Linked DNA regions of Ovis aries. The protein of the gene in region 2 interacts with the protein of the main gene of each other region in a pairwise test. Links are inferred from orthologs where the notes say so. Each region holds a gene or a part of one and is shown on either strand. Other genes may lie near its edges.

Region 1 (5,998 bases), on a different chromosome or scaffold from region 2:
CAGTGGGTAAAGAATCAGCCTACAGTGTGGGAGACCCGGGTTCAATCCCTTTGTCAGGAAGAGCCCCTGGAGAAGGAAATGGCAACCCACTCCAGTGTTCTTGCCTGGAGAAGTCCATGAATGGAGGAGCCTGGCGGGCCACAATCCATGCACGGAGTCACAAAGAGTCGGACACAACTGAGTGATTAACACTTTCACTCCTTTTTTTCAGGGGGCACCAGACTATCCCAGAACACAGAGGAATGTCACCCAAGGCAGCCTGGGAAGCAAGAGGAAGTGTCCTGAAGAAGAGAGGTCTGAGCTGAGACCTACAGGGCAGCCAGGGGTCACTGCTGCGGACCCAGGAGAAGGATGTTCCAGGTGGAGGCCACAGTGTTCGCGAAGGTCTGGAGACAAGAGGAGGTTGGGGAAGGTCCGGATTTCAGAGCCCGTCACACTCAGCCTCATTAATCTCTCTGGCGTTATCTGCCACCCTTTCCTGCCACCTGCCTTCCACACTGCCCAGCATGTGTGGTATGTTTGCTGGGGACCCTGGGATTTATTTTACGAAGGTATATACTGCACTCCCTACCAGGCCTCCTTTAAAACCAGGTAGAAGCTTTTATAATTCCCAAGGCACCTTTGGTTTTGCTCATCCCTCATGATCCTGATGACCCATTTTTTAATAGAGGAAACTGTGGTTCAGAAAGGTCCAGTTCTTTGTGACCCCATGGACTGCAGCATACCAGGCTTCCCTGTCCATCACCAACTCCCGGAGTTTACTCAAACTCATGTCCATTGAGTCAGTGATGCCATCCAACCATGTCATCCTGTCTCCTGCTTCTTCTGTGTTCAATCTTTCCCAGCATCAGGGTCTTTTCAAATGAGTCAGTTCCTCGTATCAGGTGGCCAAAATATTGGAGTTTCAGCTTCAGCATCAGTCTTTCCAATGAATATTCAGGACTGATTTCCTTTAGTTGGATGTCCTTGCAGTCCAAGGGGCTCTCAAGAGTCTTCTCCAACACCACAGTTCAAAAGCATCAATTCTTCGGCACTCAGCTTTCTTCACAGTCCAACTCTCACATCCATACATGACCACTGGAAAAACCATAGCCTTGACTAGACAGACCTTTGTTGGCAAAGTAATGTCTCTGCTTTTTAATGTGCTGTCTAGGTTGGTCATAACTTTCCTTCCAAGGAGTAAGCATCTTAATTTCATGGCTGCAGTCACCATCTGCAGTGATTTTGGAGCCCCTCCCAAAATAAAGTCGGTCACTGTTTCCACTGTTTACCCATCTATTTCCCATGAAGTGATGGGGCCGGATGCCATGATCTTAGTTTTCTGAATGTGGAGCTTTAAGCCAACTTTTCCACTCTGCTCTTTCACTTTCATCAAGAGGCTCTTGTTGTCACTCACTAAAGATCACACAGTTGGTGAGGAGGGAGGTGAGGATGCTAACTCAGATCTGACTCCAGGCCTGTTGTCCTGGACGCTAAACGGGGCAGCCGGTGCCCACCGTGGCTTCTGGGCGGTGCCCTCTGCGAGGGGGCAATTCCTTACAGGTTCCCTGCATGCTTCACTTACACAGAAGCGTTGAGAAGGCTTCAGCCTTCTGCGGGCTGAGCTCAGCCTACCCGCTTCCTCGGGGCTTGGGTCATGTCAAGTGCAGTCGCTTCAAGCATCCCATCTCCCCAGGGGCGAAGACCACAACTCCTGAAGACCTGGCTTCGTGTCCTCCAATACCTCAGCTACGTGACACTGGGTAAGTAACTTAGAACTCATCTGTGAAACCGATCTTGTGGGACTGCTGTGGGGATTAAACGAGAACAGCACCTGTGCAGAGGGGCTATCGGTACAATCTCGGGAAGCGCAGGAAAAAGGACACGCCGCCCGCGACTCACACCGGGGGTCACACCCCACTGAGACCCGCCTGTAGGCCTCGCGCAGGCGCGCTACGCACAGACCCGGCGGGCGCTCTCGCGGGCTCCACGGCTGCGCAGTCGCCCGGCTTTGCGGCTGCGCTGCTTGACGGCAGCGGTGTCCGTCTCCCGGCCGGCGTTGCCGGGGTAACGCCGCGCGCGCGCTGGGGGCGGAGGAAGGTAGGGTACCCTGGGCCCCCGGGAGCAGGCTCGAGGCGCCGAGCGCGGTGGCCGTGGCCCTTGGAGGGTAGGGGGGGGGCTCATCCGCGGGAGGAGGCCTCGCCTTTTCAGAACGCTCTCCGGGGCTAGAGTAGAAGCGGTCCTGGGACGTTCTTCCGGGCGCACAGCCACGCGGAACTGGGCCGGGACGCAGGGCCCGGCTTCTAGTTCTGCCGGAATATTAGCCCCCTTTCCCCTCCTCCGTGTATCTGCAACTCTCTCTTTTCTATGCTTTTTGTGGAAACACTGACCCCGCGGGGCAGAGTGCCGCGGGCAGAGTAAGGCGGGTGCATCTGATAACAGACCGTGCCCTAGGGGAGCCTTCTTTGGTCGCTAGTAGGGTTGCTGGGCGCCGCTGTAGGAGCCCGGCAAAGGGACAGGTTATGACACGGAGTTGGGAGAGTCTGTTGAGCCCTTGACTTTTTTTTTTTTTTTTTGCTCATTAGTTGCAGCTGCAGCTTTTCGCCTGGCTCGCACATCACATGGGAAGCCCAGTACCAGGCTCGATCCACAATCCCCCCATCAGTCTTCAAAGGTTTAACTTTTGTTTGTGTGTCTTAGTCTCGGGTTCTAACCTGAAAGCTCCCCAGAGGCAGGATTGTCTTTTCCTTTTCATCCTTGCCTCCCCTCGCCTACAGGGTACGCACTTGGAGCCTCGAGCGTGTTTTTTTGTGTTGTTGTTTTTTTGATAGGGAGAATGTGAGTTCTGAGTGGGAGGCTTTAACCAGCTGGTTGGGCAAAGTGGGCCCAGGGGGTTGGAAAATTAAATAATGGTACCTCCCCCCCTTCCTTTTTGTCTTCCTTTGTTTTGTTTGGAATAAACATTTACGGAACACCTAAAAGATGTTAGCTTGTGTGCTCAAGGGAAGAATTAGGAACAAGCCCTGCTAGAAAACTAAATGTATAGTGTACTTAACACTGTGGGTCCCTGGAGTCATACAGCCAGGTTTGGAAAAGCAAAAGGAACAGCCCCTTACAGGTGCGTGGCGCTCGGCGCCAGCCCCTAGCCCCTTTCCCCCTCTCTCCAGTGGGATGGCTGTTGGCATCGAGTTTGAATAGGCCATCCTATCTCTAGTGGCTGCAACCATGGACTGCATATTGAAATCGCCTGGACCCCATCTCTGACCTTTTGATGTAATTGTAGGTTAGGCCTCGGCATTGGGAGTTTCACAATTTCCCCAGGTGATTCTAAGAGCAGCCAAGCTTGAGAGCCACTGTTATATATGACCCCAGGTCAATTTTCTTAATCTTTTAAACTGGTTTGTTTTTTTTTTTTTTTTGGCCACACGTTATGGCTTGTAGGAACTTAGTTCCTCAACCAGGGATTGAACCTTAGCAGTGAAAGCAGAGAGTCTTAAAGTCTGCTGAGAAGTCAGAGAATTCCCTCTTAACCTTCATTCCTGTTAATTGCTGGTAATATTCCAATACGTGGATATGTTGTTCTTTAGTTGCTAAGTCATGTCTGACTCTTTGGGACCCCATGGACTGTAGCCTGCCAAGCTCCTCTGTCCATGGGATTTCCCAGGCAGAAATACTAAAGTGGGTTGCCATTTCCTTCTCCAGGGGATCTTCCAGACCGAGGGATCGAACCCGAGTCTCCTGCACTGGCAGGCGGATTCTTTACCAACCAGGAAAGCCTATATGGATGCAGCATCTTTTTAAAAATCTTTTTATTATTTATTTCCTTATTTGGCTGCACCAGGTCTTAGTTTAATGTGTGAGTGGCTTCCACAGTTTTCTAGTCCTGATCAATTTGAAGATGACATTGAGTTCAGGGACCATACGTGGGTTGTTAAAATCACACGATCGTAATGGTAGCACTGCACATTTGGAAGGCCTACTGAGAGGCGCATCCTCCTTGATGTCCATGCGGCCACACGCACAGAGGCGACGCCAGACCTCTAAAATTTGGAGGTCTTGTGAAAAGCAGGGAGTCTTGTTAGAGGAACCTTCTATGATGCCAACGTGGGTTGAAGTACAGAGTTCTTGCATCCAGTGTCAGAGCTCATTCTAGGCTTTCTTTAAGAGTATAACAGCAGTCTGAAAGGGAGAATCCTAAGCAATCTAAGCACATTAAAACAGAACTTTTCTCTTTCACTGGTTTGAGAGAATTTAATTGGAAGTGTGTGAAGTTAGTCATTGAACATTTTCTGTTTTTAAAAATCTTTTAATGTAATATATACAAGTCAAATACTAAGCAGCGGTTAAGTTATAAAAGTGAACTGCTTATAAAAGTCCATGAATTATTCCTGGAAATCCTAACTGGAAACCAGCATCCTGCCTCAAAAAAGTCGACACGTTATTTTAAGTTTTAGAATAAGTTGCCGATTGTTCAGTTGGATGCTAAATGCACTTGGCGCTTGAATAACGTAGAAGGTGAGGGTGCTGACCCTCTGTGATCATCAAAACTCCGAGGGTAATTTTCAGTCCCCCTCCATATCCCTTGTTCCTTTATATCTAAGGCTAAGGATCTGTGGACTCAACCAACCATGGATGGTGTATCACTGTAGCATTCACCATTGAAACAAGTCTGGGTATACATGTACCCATGCAGGTAAACCCCATGTGGTTCAGGGTCCGCTGTAGTTGCTTGGGTTGAGTGACAAATTGGCAAGTGAAAGTCTACTTTAAATGCTCTTGAGGGGGAATCTCTTAATTGCCCATTAACACGTGGTATACATAGTTTTGTTCTGAACACTATATGGCAAGATGTGTGCATAGATACACGTATATATGTATATGAAATGTATATAGTCATGCTCAATATTTACATCTGTTGGGGGACTCATTTAGAATCTTAGCATTTTGCTGTCTGGAATACTCTATAGCAATCTTATGAAGCAATCTGCCAACTTGCTGATTCTTTATTTATAGTTCCTATTGTAACTGGTTGTCACCGTCTTAACGTCCCTGGTTTCTCTTTTCCTTTGTCCTCATTTAATTCCTTCACGTCTTTTGGAGAGTGGCTAGAGGAATCCTTACACATGGGACAGTGCTTTTGATTTCTTTCTTTTCCCTAATCATTCATTTGTTTGGGTGCGCTGGGTCTTGCGGCACTTGGGATCTTTTTTTTTTTTTTTTAGCTGCAGCATGCAGGCTCCTAGCCTGTGGGAGAAAGAGTGGAAGAGTCGTGCATCTCTGGGAGGAGTGGGTCTGCTGGGCGGGGGGGCTCGCTTTCCTGTCCCTGCTGTCCTTGGTGCTCGTTGTCCTGCCAGGAATGATTTGTGTCTGTCTGTCTGTCTTCCCATCTGGCCCGTGGGCTCGTTAAAGGACCGGCGTGTCTGTCTCCCCTCGTATCCACAGCATGACCTCAACCATATGAGAAATGAAAAACCATACAGAAAAAAATTGAAATATTTTAAAAAGGCTAAATTGCAGCCACACCGGATACTATTTCTCTGCTGTCTCATGAGCAAAAATCAAAAAGTCTGAGCACACACGTGGCCAATGAGTCTGTAGCAACACACGCACGCTTCCTTAATGTTTATTTTTAATTATTTTTAATTATTTGGTTGTGCCCTGCCTTAGTGCTGGCAATGGGTTCTTAATTGTGCCCGGCAGACTCTTAGTTGTGGCTTGGGAGATCTAGTTCCGTGACTAGGGATGGAACCCGGGCCCCCAGCACTGGGAACACAGGGTCTTAAGCTTCTGGACTACCAGGGAAGTCCCTGGGTTTCTTCTTAATGGGCCTAAAACTAAGAGCATGGCATCTGGTCCCATCACTTCACGGGAAATAGATGGGGAATTAGTGGAAATAGTGTCAGACTTTATTTTGGGGGGGCTCCAAAATCACTGCAGATGGTGATTGCAGCCATGAAATTAAAAGACACTCCTTGGAAGGAAAGTTATAACCAACCTAGATAGCCTATTTGCCAACAAA
Region 2 (6,269 bases):
TTCTATTTTGCCATTCTCTGGGCTGCATTGTGCCCCCTCCCTGCCCAGACCAGGGCAGGGTTCCAGGGACCCCAGCAGCTGAAGGGGGCCTACGGGGCTCTTTACAGGGTTTGACTCCTGGGGTTTCTCCTCTGGGCGGCAGCTGTTGTGGTTCTGGGGAGGTGGGCTGCAAGCTGCTGGGCTCTCAGGTGTTCCATCCATCCCCTGCAGGGGGTTCTGCAGGGCCTTGGGCTTCTTATTAATAGACCTGAGGGACGTGGGGAGGAAACGCAGTCCATCTGCTCCTGACTGCTGAGGTGCACGTGACCCCCACAAGCCATACTGCCTCCCTGAGCCCCTGCAGGAGCCGCCCCAGCCCAACTCTTAAGCCCAGGCATTCTCCAAGGTCCCGAACACCAGCACTTCCACAGAACTCTCCCTGTGGGGTGGCCACGTGGGGAGCATTACTGAGAGCTGGAGCTTCTCCTCTTCCTCTTGCCCTCCAGGCACTGGGCACCGCTGTCCAAGTTCAGCTGCCGCTCGTACGGGGACAGGACGGAGCTGTGGGTGAGAATGGGGTAGGGGGTGGGCAACTGATCCACCTCCTCAGTCTGGTGCTCCCCTTGGAATGTGTGAGGGACTGGCCCAGACTACGTCAGCGGGCCAGGGCTAGAACTGTAACCAAGGGCGGGAGCCCCAGGCAGACCCCACACAGAGTAACGGGGGCAGACACAGGGGCCTCCCTGCGCATCTTTGTCCAGGCCTCTGGGTCTCATCAGTGGTACCTTTGAACAGAGGTTCCCTGACATCAGAGCTCCTGCAGAGCCAGCAATAAATAACACTGGTGAGAAAAGTTAGGAGAACTGGAAAACTTGGAAAATAAAGGAAAATGAAAATAAAACCCAATGGATACCAAGGTAACATTTTGTTTCCTACAAACACACATATTGACTGTCTTTCTCCATATCTTTCTCTGTCAAAAATGACACTGTACTAATATACAGCTGTTTGGTCCTTTTTATACTCAACAATATATTATGGCCCTTTATTCTTCCCCGCCATGATTTTTTTCTTATGGCTGTGAGGCTGTACTGTCCATTATAGTAGCCCTAGATACAAGGGGCTATTTAAGTTAAATTTAAATCTATTAAAATTAAAAATTCCACACAAGCCACATATACTGGACAACACAGACATTAAATATTTTTGTCTACAGAAAGTCCTATCAGATAGTGCTGATCTAAGGGATAAACTCTAATCTGTGTGACCACGCTTTCCCTGTTTGGCTTATAGGAGGTTTCCAAGATCACTGATTTTGCAAAGTGATGGTGTTTTGTGTAAGCTCCCCTAAACACAAGTTCTGTGGGGTAGTGCTTTTGTTCTCTGCTATTCTTCAGCAGCCAGCACCCAGTAAGCAGTCAGTGTTGTGCTTAGTCGCTGGGGACTAGGATAAATTCGAGGGAAATAAACAGGGATTTACCTTGGTTGGAATCGTCGAACCACATAGCCGAGTCTCTTCAGGTGGCTGAAGACCTCAAAAAGACAAACCAGAAGTCAGACATCCACTTATGAAAACAAACTGTTCTCCACACAGAAGCCATTCACCACACCCCCAGATTCCAAACCCTGGTACTGGCAGGACCATACTGTCTAATAAACACCCTCCCCACACTGAGGTCTCAAGTCTCTGAGTTCCTGTCTCTCACTGGCCTTACCCTGGGCACAAATGACAGCAGTTTCTTGATTTAAATGCAAATCCCAAAAAGCTGATAGCTGATGGACCAGGGAAAAAACTATAAGCCAAAATATTTTGACAAAAGCTGTCACAAGTGAAGCTCCTGACTACAATACAGACAAGACAAACAGAAGGAGATGGACATCCTGCTGCCCCACAACACTTCCAAAGATGGGTGGGTTTTGGATGAACCGCATGTTCCTCCGTGTGGCCCTGCATCCGTATATGAGCAATGTATGCAGGTATGCCCCAGCTTGCTTGATCTCTCAGTAGCATTCAACGCAGCCAAGCACTTCCTCCTGAAAAGACCTTGTGGTCTCTCTGATGCCCCCTCTCCTGGTCTTCTCCGCTGCTGGACACTCCTCACATCCGTTATCTTCCCCCTGATCTCCTCATATTAGAGTGCCCCAGATTTCAGACACAGGCCTCTACTCTGGCCACACCTCCCTACAGCCTGGTGGAGCCTGAAATATCCATGCCATCAAGATCTCCACATTTATGTCTCTAGCCTTGTGCCCCTCCTCCTCTGTGTTTTTCCTGGCACTCAACTCTGAAGTCAACCATCCATTTGCTTTCTTACCTATATATTACCCAAGTGCCACCCCTAGGACATAAGCCCTTGTCAGTCTTGGAGCCTCAGCACGTGGCTCTGTGTCCAGCACCTTGTTGTTTAGTCACTAAGTTGTGTCTGATTCTTTTGTGACCCCATGGACTGTAGCCCGCCAGGCTCCTTCTGTCCATGGGATTTCCCAGGCAAGAATACAAGAGTGGGTTGCAGTTTCCTTCTCCAGGGGACCTACCCGGTTGATTCAGAGTCTCCTGCATTGGCAGGTGGGTTCTTTACCACTGAGCCGCCAGGGAAGCTCTTGTAGGTTCTTATAAAGGGTGGCTGATACCTGGTACTGCAGGAAAGTCACTGTGTCCTCGGTCAGCAGCAGCTGGTAGGCCTCTTGGATAGACAGCGGAAGGTCTTGGTGGAAGAGCTGGATGGAGCCCTGAAAGTGCAGCCCACAGCTCAGCTTGTGAACCCTCCCTGTGGTGGCACGGCCAAGGGAGCAAATTCCCCACTCTGCTATCTGCATGCTACACCTCACACCCATCACGGCAAGAATCAGGCCGGCCAGGAAGGGGCACGGGGAGAGGGAGGCAGCGTCACTAACAGACTGGAAAGCCTGCTCCCTGCGTGACATTCTTGTCAACTGCTCCAGAAAGCAGATTACAAGCCCCCGCCCCCACCCGAATACTCGGTTGTAGACACCTTTTCCCTGAGTAGAAACGCCCTTCCGGTTCCTTGGTCACAATCCCCTCTCCACTCTCCCAGGGGCCCCACTCACACACTCCAGGAGATACAAGGCCTCTTCTGGATGAAGCCGCTGCCGGCCCTGCTCTGAGAAGCCCATGGTCTGCCAGAATTTACCCTGCGGGGGACCCAGAGCACTGTCATGAAGGAGTCCGGGAAGGCAGAGGAGGCGGGTCCCCGGTCCCTGAGCCCCGCCGCTCACCGCAGGAGACTTCAACTCCACGAAACCTTCTTCTGGTTTCCACTCGGCGGCCACCAAACTACCCCTGGCGAGGAGCAGGGAGAGGGGTCCGTCCCAAACCCACCGGATCAGACTTACCGGGTCCAGCAGCCCAGCCCGCCCCGGCTCCGCCCCCGCCCCGGCCCGCCCCTCTCACAGGCGCTCCACGCGCTCCTCGGCCAGCAGCTGCCAGAGCTCCTGGCGGCACAAGCGCAGCCGCTCGGCCTGGGCCTCCGAGCCGTCAGGGAGGAAGTCCTTGGGGCCATGCGAGCGCTGGGGCAGCTTCTGGGACCGGGAACGTGCGGCGAAGAGCTCCGGGGCACTGGAGGAGAAAGGGCCGCGGCGTTAGCGCCGCGCAATCGGGGCCGCTCAGCCCAGGCTGGGGATCCCCGGCTCGGGTGCCCCGGGCTCTCTCCCGCGCCTACCCCACGGCCACGGCTCCTCCCCCCCACCCCCCACCCTCCACCCCCAGGCCCGGCCACGCCGCACCTGAGCACGCGCCCGGCCGGAACCTCCACGGAGGCCGACTCGGGCTCGGGATCCATCGGGTGGGGCTGGCCGACGCTGCGCGCGCACCGCCCCGCCCCAGCCCCCCCCGCCCCGCCCACCTCCGGGAGTCCGCGCGGCCCTAGCGCGCGCGTGTTCCACCGCCGCTCCCCGGGTCTCCGGTCCACCCACCTGCTTCCCACCTTCCTGGGTGTCCTGGGTCCTAGCGCCCGACGACAAATGTGCGCCGCGATTACTAGGGGGCGGAGAGCTTGCTAGTTTCTGGATTTGTAGGAGCCCCGCCTGCCTCTGGGGCTCCTCTCTAGTAGTTCTCGAGGAGGCTCGCGTTTGAAAGCGTCGTATGAAGAGTTATAAGGGTGACCCTCCCCTCCGCAACCCCGGACTGCCTAGTCCGCACCACCCAGGCTGGACCGGGAGGAAGGAGGGGTTAGAGAAGGGAGAACGCTGGGTTCCCCAATTCGGCTTCGCACACTGAGGGTCACCACGGGCCTCCAGGTGTAGGCTAGGGGAGCCAGCAGTTCCTTCAGGTCCTTCTGTTGGGTCCCTGCCTGGGGGCTCGGGAAGCCGGGCTTCCAGGACTTGGGGGAGCGGCGGGAGGCGCTGTCCGACCCACGGCGGTGCTGAAGCGCCACCCCAGCCGGTAGTTAGCGCCTCCCGGAGCCTGGGGTCTCCGCCGCCGCCGCCTCGAGCCGTCCCCACACGGCCCGCTAGGTGGCACCATCGCTCCGACCAGGGGCCGTCGGCCTGTGACTTCGGGTCGCGGGCGGAGGTCGCTGCGGGAGTCCCGGGAAGGACGAGGGGCGAGGAAGAAGAAAAGGGGGGTTCCCAAGTGGGATTCCTGGGTCTCGATTCCCAGCTCCCATCACATCTCGTCCTCTCTCGCACCCCGTCATACACAGGGTGTCTCTCCCGTCCGTCTGAACTCCAGAGCCTCAGGTCGCGCGCCCGGGCTCCAGTCAGGATGCCGAGGCTCGCTCTCTAGTCCCCGCCCCCCGTCCCCGCCCGCGCAGCTTCACCTGGACGCATGCGCAGACGCTCGGGCCTGGGGAGGTGGGGCGGGGCCTCGCACGGATCGGGGCGGGGCCGCAGGCTCTGACTGACAGCCCAGCTGCGCGGCCGGGACAGTCCCTCCGCTCCCGATCCGGTGGGAGGGAGGGGGGAGGGGCGGGATTTCCTGCGGGAGGCGCCGAGCCGGCCTTGGAAAAGGAGGAGAAAAAGGGGGGGGGGGCAGTGGGAGCCGCCGTCCAGGGGGCCAGGGACCGAGCAGGACCGGCCGGACCCCCGGCGGGGCGGCTGGGAAAGGTGAGACTGCGGGGCCTGATCTGGGGGTCAGCACCCTTGAGGGCGGGCACAAAGTAACTTTTCTTGCGAGATCCGCGGGCGTCTTCATCCGTCGGGTCCTTCTGTCCTCCTCGCGCCAGTACAACGTCTCCCTGCATCAATCCCTCCGGGCACTTGGCCCTCCGGTCCTTCTCGCCGCTTTGTTCCCCGGTCGGCCTGGGCTGGGCTGGGTTGGGGGGTTGCGCGGCGCTGGACTGGCATTCCGGGGGGCGGGGGAGCCAGCCCGACCCCATGCACTGCCAGGGGCGCCCTCCCCCAATGTCGGGCCGCGGGCTTTGAGCTGGAGTGCCATCTGGTTTGGGCTTGGGACTTCTGGGGAGTAAGAGAACCCCAGCTAGGGCCCCAGGCCTGCCGCGAGTCTCATGCCACGGGACTCGGGCAACAAATTCTCGGCCACTGAGAAACTGACGTAAGCTTTTCTAAAGTGAAGTCGGGGCTCTGGGGCTCAGATTCAGGCTTGGGAGGGCGGACAGCCCCATTTAGCAGCAGTACCCCAGCTCTCATCTCTGTTCTCTGCCCGGCTGCTTCTGCATCCTGCACTAGGGTGAGGATGGGTCAGCAACAGGTGCTGTAAAGCCTCACTGTCCTGCAGGCAGACCCTCAGCCAGAGACGGGGGGCCATAGCTCCCCACTCCACCTTCTGAATTCATAAAGAGCCCTGGGGCTAGGGCTTCCGGTGATCAGGGCAGAGCCTAGATGGGGAGGGGTGATCCCTGCCAGTCCTCCTGTGCCTGACCCTCCCAGGCCCCACCTTCTGGCCCACCACTTGTCTGTGGGTGTCAGAGCCTCAGGCTGTGGAGAACAGGCTGCTGGCCCGACCTGCCCCCGTGTGTCGTGCTGCCAGGGCCCCTCCTGCCCAGAGTTGAGGTACTGCCAGGTGCCCTGGGGCCTCGGTGACTCAGCCTCCCCCTCCCAGAGCACCCCCTCCCCCCCTCCCAATACTCCTCTCATGCATGGCAGCTCCCTCCCACTTAGAGTGGCTCAGCCTCTCCCTTGACTTAGAAGGGCAGCCAGGGTAACTTGGGGGCTCCCTGGAAGCTCTGTCCTGTTCTTTCTCTGAGCCCTGCTTCTGGGACCCTTACAGACTCCAACCCAGCCTTCAGCAGACCCTCAGTGGATCACACCTTTTCCAGACCCCCGAGACCTGGCCGCCCCTGCTGCCCAAGGCACGAGGGAATGCTGGCTTC
Region 3 (5,570 bases), on a different chromosome or scaffold from region 2:
AGGCCTCACTATAGCGTCCATCCTCAATCTACAATAAAGCCTTAGGAGCTCACATCCAATGCTTTCTATGTTACAGGCTTTGGGTTTAGTGCTTTATATGCATTATCCTATTCATGCTTCAAAATAACTTGAAGATAAATTGTTATCCCTGTTATCCAGTTAAAAACAAACAACAACTGGGTCTAAGCCTGTGATTTACCCAAAGTCACACAGCAAGCAAGTGGCAAAGAATATTCCCAAGTCCAAACGCATCAGAAGTGTATAAAGTGAAAGTGAAGTCGCTCAGTCATGTCCAACTCTTGCGACCCCATGGACTGCAGCTCTCCAGGCTCCTCCGTCCATGGGATTCTCCAGGCCAGAATACTGGGGTGGGTAGCCTTCCCCTTCTCCAGGGGATCTTCCCGACGCAGGGATCGAACACGGGTCTCCCACCTTGCAGAGACGCTTTACCGTCTGAACGTATAGATGCGGCCCAATCTGTTGCTTGCAGGGTGATGCTTGCCCTTGTATAACCATCAGAGACTTGGGGAGGGAAAGAGTCCCCAGCAAAGCTCTCCGCCTAACAGGAGAGGGGTTGTTGAGTAATGACTACCTTGCAGAGTAACTGGAAGAAATCTATGTTTCATTCTCTCCCTTAAGTAAAATGTTCTGAAATGCTCCCCAGGGGTCAAACGCTGTGTCGGGACGGGGATGGTAGTCCAGTTAGCCTCTGATGAGCTGCTTGGCTCCCCTCTCGCTACCCCTAGGTCCCCTCGTATCCACACAGGGATCCGCGCCCCGCTTCCAGGCGACTGTGGGGCGCTTCCCGGGCCGCAGGTGAGCGGGAGCGACGGGGAGAGAGCCCACAGCTGCGGCGCCTCCGCGGCCGTGTCCCCTCCGCGGCTGGTCCTCACCGCGCACGGAGGCGTAACCACCACGCCCCCTGCCTCCCTCCCCAGCTGCTTGACGAACAATGACGGCAGCCGCCCCGCCCGCCTTTGACGTCACGGTCAACCCCCACCCTTGACTACAAGTCCCAGAGGGCCAAGCGGCGGCCAGAGCGCGACCGCTCGCGACAGCTCGGGTACAACTACATCTCCCAGGGGGCCTCGCGCGGCCGCGCCTTCCCCACTGCGCAAGTGCGGAAACGTTTGTTTCCGGCGTGGTCTCGGTGAGCGCGTCTGGCTTCTGGGCTTAGGTCCTGTGTTCTTGGTTTACAGGTTTGAGCTCGTGGCTGTACAGGTGAGGTAGTAAGTTCAGGATCGCAACCGCCGCCTCCTTAGAGCCTGCGCAGATTTCGGTGTCTGGGGAGGCTGGGACGAATGCTAGACCTGGAGCTGCGATCTGCATCGGAGATAATTCTTTGCTGTTCCTCGGCGCTTTCTAGTTTACTAATTTTTTTCTTTCCCTCCGACCATCCCGGTTAACCCCCAGAACAGCACTTTAGGGGAACTGTAAGCGCCTCCAGTTGACAGTGGAGGAAAAGGTTTAGACGAGCTAAGTGATTTGTTCAAAGACACTGCTAGTGGTTGCTGAACGGTTTCCTTGATGCTGTTTGCTTCTGAGTCCCAACTCGGTATTCTCTGCTCTGCCTCCAGATTGCTGACTCCCTTTTTTGTTGACCCAAGGGTTAGGGACTGGGCATCTGTAGCTTTTTCAAGTCTGGAGTACTCGAAAGCGTGGTAGTGATGAAGGGAGCAACAAAGGCGCTGTAACCAAGTCTGCGGGTATGTAGGTATCTTGTTTTCCGCCGACGTCTGAGTCAGTTATTCACTCGGTGTTTTTACAGAGGTGCCTTTTGGTGTCAGGCTCTATTTTAGGTACTGGGGTTACGGGCAGCAAACCTAAATGCCCAACCCTTACCTTCTAGTGAGGGTGGGTAGACAATAATCAGATATATAGTGGGTCAGGTGGTGATGAGAGAGAAGGGGGGAGAATAAAGCAAAGTAAGGAGAAACATACTCTGGAGGATTTTGAACCGAGCCCTAACTTCTGTTTAGATCTGATTCTGGCGTTCCAGACAAAAGCAGCCACACAGGAAAGATGGGAGAGGAGGCCAATGATGACAAGAAGCCAACAACTAAATTTGAACTGGAGCGGGAGACAGAGCTTCGCTTTGAGGTGGAGGCGTCGCAGTCAGTTCAGTTGGAGCTGCTGGCTGGCATGGCAGAAATCTTCGGCACAGAGCTGACCCGAAACAAGAAGTTCACCTTTGATGCTGGCGCCAAGGTGGCTGTCTTCACTTGGCACGGCTGTTCGCTGCAGCTCAGTGGGCGCACCGAGGTGGCTTACGTCTCCAAGGACACCCCAATGTTGCTTTATCTCAACACACATACGGCCTTGGAGCAGATGCGGAGGCAGGCCGAGAAGGAGGAGGAGCGGGGCCCCCGGGTGATGGTCGTGGGCCCCACGGACGTGGGCAAGTCCACCGTGTGCCGTCTGCTGCTCAACTACGCGGTGCGTCTGGGCCGCCGTCCCACGTACGTGGAGCTGGATGTGGGCCAGGGCTCTGTGTCCATCCCCGGCACCATGGGGGCCCTCTACATCGAGCGGCCGGCGGACGTTGAGGAGGGGTTCTCCATCCAGGCCCCGCTGGTGTACCACTTCGGCTCCACCACGCCCGGCACCAACATCAAGCTTTATAATAAGGTCAGAGCCCGGGGCAAGGCGCGGTGGAGGGAGGGGGCCGGCGTTTGCTGGTTGAAACTCTCTGTCCCCTCTCAGTGGCTATCACTTCCACGGTGATGGGTTTTGGAAAAGACCGTTTCAAAAATAGTTCAATCTCAGATGGTTAAACATTTCTAGGGACCTATTCTTAAGTAGGTCCTATTCTTCCCTGGTGGCTCAGACGGTAAAGCGTCTGCCTACAATGCGGGAGACCCGGGTTCAGTCCCTGGGTTGGGAAGATGGGAAGATTCCCCTGGTGGAGGGCATGGCAACCCACTCCAGTACTCTCGCCTGGAGAATCCCATGCACGGAGGAAGCTGGCAGGCTACAGCCCATGGGGTCGCAAAATGTCAGACACGACTGAGCGACTTCACTTCACTCCTGAGTGATTTATTACATTTCAACTTGGGACATGAAACACCACTGCCATTAGAAATGTCCTTTTCCCTGAACCTGATACCACTTAGGCTCAGGAAGGATCGTGTGGCCGAGGGTTGGTTTTGTGCCTTTTCTGTCTCACCTGGACCCTTTCTTCTGCAGATTACATCTCGTTTAGCTGATGTGTTCAACCAAAGGTGTGAAGTGAACCGCAGGGCCTCGGTGAGCGGCTGTGTCATTAACACCTGTGGCTGGGTCAAGGGCTCTGGTTACCAGGCCCTGGTCCACGCAGCCTCAGCCTTTGAGGTGGATGTCGTCGTGGTTCTGGATCAAGAACGGCTGTACAACGAGCTGAAGCGGGACCTGCCTCACTTCGTCCGCACGGTGCTGCTCCCCAAGTCGGGGGGTGTGGTGGAGCGCTCCAAGGACTTCCGGCGGGAATGCCGGGATGAGCGCATCCGTGAGTATTTCTATGGGTTCCGGGGCTGTTTTTATCCCCATGCCTTCAACGTCAAATTTTCAGATGTGAAAATCTACAAAGTCGGGGCACCCACCATCCCAGACTCCTGCCTGCCTCTGGGCATGTCTCAGGAGGACAATCAGCTCAAGCTGGTGCCCGTCACCCCCGGCCGAGATATGGTGCACCACCTGCTGAGCGTCAGCACCGCCGAGGGCGCCGAGGAGAGCCTCTCGGAGACCAGCGTGGCGGGCTTCATTGTGGTGACCAGCGTGGACCTGGAGCACCAGGTGTTCACCGTCCTCTCCCCCGCCCCCCGCCCGCTGCCCAAGAACTTCCTGCTCATCATGGATATCCGGTTCATGGATCTTAAGTAGCGATCCTCAGGCAGCCTTGCTGCCTGGGGCCTGGAGGCCTTCTGGCCATCACCAAGGGCAGACGGGCTGAGGGATGAGCACCTCCTGCGGCCCGGCTGCTCGGTAAATGGTGGACTACCGGAAAGCATATGTTCTACCTCTTAAAAACAGGTGGTGGCCACCTAACTCTTCCAGTTGTGAGCCAGAGGTTTCTTGGGTCCCCTAAGGTGCCACCAGAGAAGCCCCCTTTCTTGCACCGTGCCGCCTTGTGGGCTCATTTGTCACCGTTTTAGGTTCTGCATACACTGCTTATCTCGTTTGTCTGGGATGAAAGAGTGAATTCAAAGGACTCCTCCCAATTAAGTTCATACTTGGGAAAAAAGAAAAAACTATTTTAATAAATATTTTTGCCATAGCACAGGAGTTGGTATAATTTTTTAAAGCTTGGGTTTTTTCCCCCTAAGCATTATAGAAACATTATTGGAATGATTTATTACTGAATGCCTAGAGAAGAAGAAAGCCAAGAGCCCACCTGTGAGCTAAGCAGGTAAATGTTTATGATGGTTTCCTTTTCCTCTGCACTTGGGTAAATAGATCCTAAATCTGTTGTCAGTGATGGGTTTACTATGAGGAACTAAACAGGTGGTGGTAAACTTGGGGTGAGATTTCAGATTTGATATTATCCAGAGATAGCTCATTTTCTCTCAGCTACAGCTCTCTGCTCTCTTTCCTGTTGTCTGTTTAATTGGAATCAGATCCCAAGTCAAAAAGTAAATTTGAGCTTTCAGGTGATAAGCTGGAACAGCCCATTCTCTTTGATCTCTTGCAAATAATTGGTTTCTCTAGTTTGGACTTGTATTATTGAGTAAGTATCATGATGACCTTATCCATTGATTCTTTCCACAAATTTTTATCATGCACCTACTATGTGACAAGGACCTTTCTAGACGGGGGGACGAGCTGGACAGTCTTACAGAGCTTATAGTAAACATAAAAAGTGAGGTGCTGTGCAGAGAGGCTTAAGATCGGGCCATAGGAGGCGGAATGGCCAGGAGGCTTTTTAAATCAGGTGGTCAGGAAAGGCCTCTTTTGAATGGCTGTGTGCAACTGGGACAGAATCTTCCTGGTGGAGGAAGCAGGGCAAAACCCTAAGAAAGGAGCAAGCTGAGTGTGTTGGATGAAGGGAAAGGCCAGCATTGTGGGAGTGATACAGCAAATCAAGGGGAGAGGGAAAAACTCAGGCCGAGGTGGGAGGCAGCAAAGACCAGATAGTGTAGGGCTTTTGTAATCCAAGAAGAGTGGGAAATGGAGAGGCGTAAGAAGCTCCAATACTCTGGCCATCTGACGCGAAGAGCTGACTAACTGGAAAGACCTGATGCTGGAAAGACTGAAGGAAAAGGAAGAAGAGGGTGGCAGAGGATGAGATGGTCAGATACCATCACCTACCCACTCACTCAATGGACATGAAATTGAGCATACTCTTGGGAGATAGTCAAGGACAGAGGAGCCTGGTGTGCTGCAGTCCATGGGATTGTGAGAATCAGACACGATTTAGGGACTGAACTACAACAAAAACACGGACTGGGTAACTTAGAAACATCTGAAAATGGTCAGGTTTCTGAAGGCTGGAAAGGCCAAATCCAAGGCACCCAGCAGTCACGCTCTGCCAAGGGCTCTCTTTCTTCCAAGTTGCAGATGGCCGGCTTCAACTGTGTCCTCACAGAGTGAGAGGG

Evidence for each region. The genes of interacting proteins can lie anywhere in the genome.
Region 1: the proteins of TSEN54 (region 2) and TSEN2 interact in a two-hybrid assay, tested with the Homo sapiens proteins (2 studies listed by BioGRID and IntAct). The two-hybrid records come from large-scale screens. The link is inferred for Ovis aries from reciprocal best matches to the Homo sapiens genes TSEN54 and TSEN2.
Region 3: the proteins of TSEN54 (region 2) and CLP1 interact in binary tests that used the Homo sapiens proteins (3 or more experiments, as listed by UniProt). The link is inferred for Ovis aries from reciprocal best matches to the Homo sapiens genes TSEN54 and CLP1.

Annotation. Positions count from the first base shown.
Region 1 is NC_056072.1:56,589,273-56,595,270, reverse strand, and holds the start of TSEN2 (tRNA-splicing endonuclease subunit Sen2), read left to right. Parts: upstream 1-2,048; 5' UTR 2,049-2,079; intron 2,080-2,564; 5' UTR 2,565-2,653; intron 2,654-5,998.
Region 2 is NC_056064.1:55,365,949-55,372,217, forward strand, and holds the start of TSEN54 (tRNA-splicing endonuclease subunit Sen54), read right to left. Parts: upstream 3,791-6,269; 5' UTR 3,780-3,790; coding exon 3,724-3,779; intron 3,557-3,723; coding exon 3,392-3,556; intron 3,281-3,391; coding exon 3,217-3,280; intron 3,133-3,216; coding exon 3,049-3,132; intron 2,710-3,048; coding exon 2,611-2,709; intron 1,513-2,610; coding exon 1,460-1,512; intron 541-1,459; coding exon 448-540; intron 248-447; coding exon 1-247.
Region 3 is NC_056068.1:79,712,911-79,718,480, forward strand, and holds the end of CLP1 (polyribonucleotide 5'-hydroxyl-kinase Clp1), read left to right. Parts: intron 1-1,114; exon of another isoform or gene 1,115-1,979; 5' UTR 1,980-2,022; coding exon 2,023-2,628; intron 2,629-3,186; coding exon 3,187-3,858; 3' UTR 3,859-4,252; downstream 4,253-5,570. UniProt on the Homo sapiens protein: Polynucleotide kinase that can phosphorylate the 5'-hydroxyl groups of double-stranded RNA (dsRNA), single-stranded RNA (ssRNA), double-stranded DNA (dsDNA) and double-stranded DNA:RNA hybrids. dsRNA is phosphorylated more efficiently than dsDNA, and the RNA component of a DNA:RNA hybrid is phosphorylated more efficiently than the DNA component.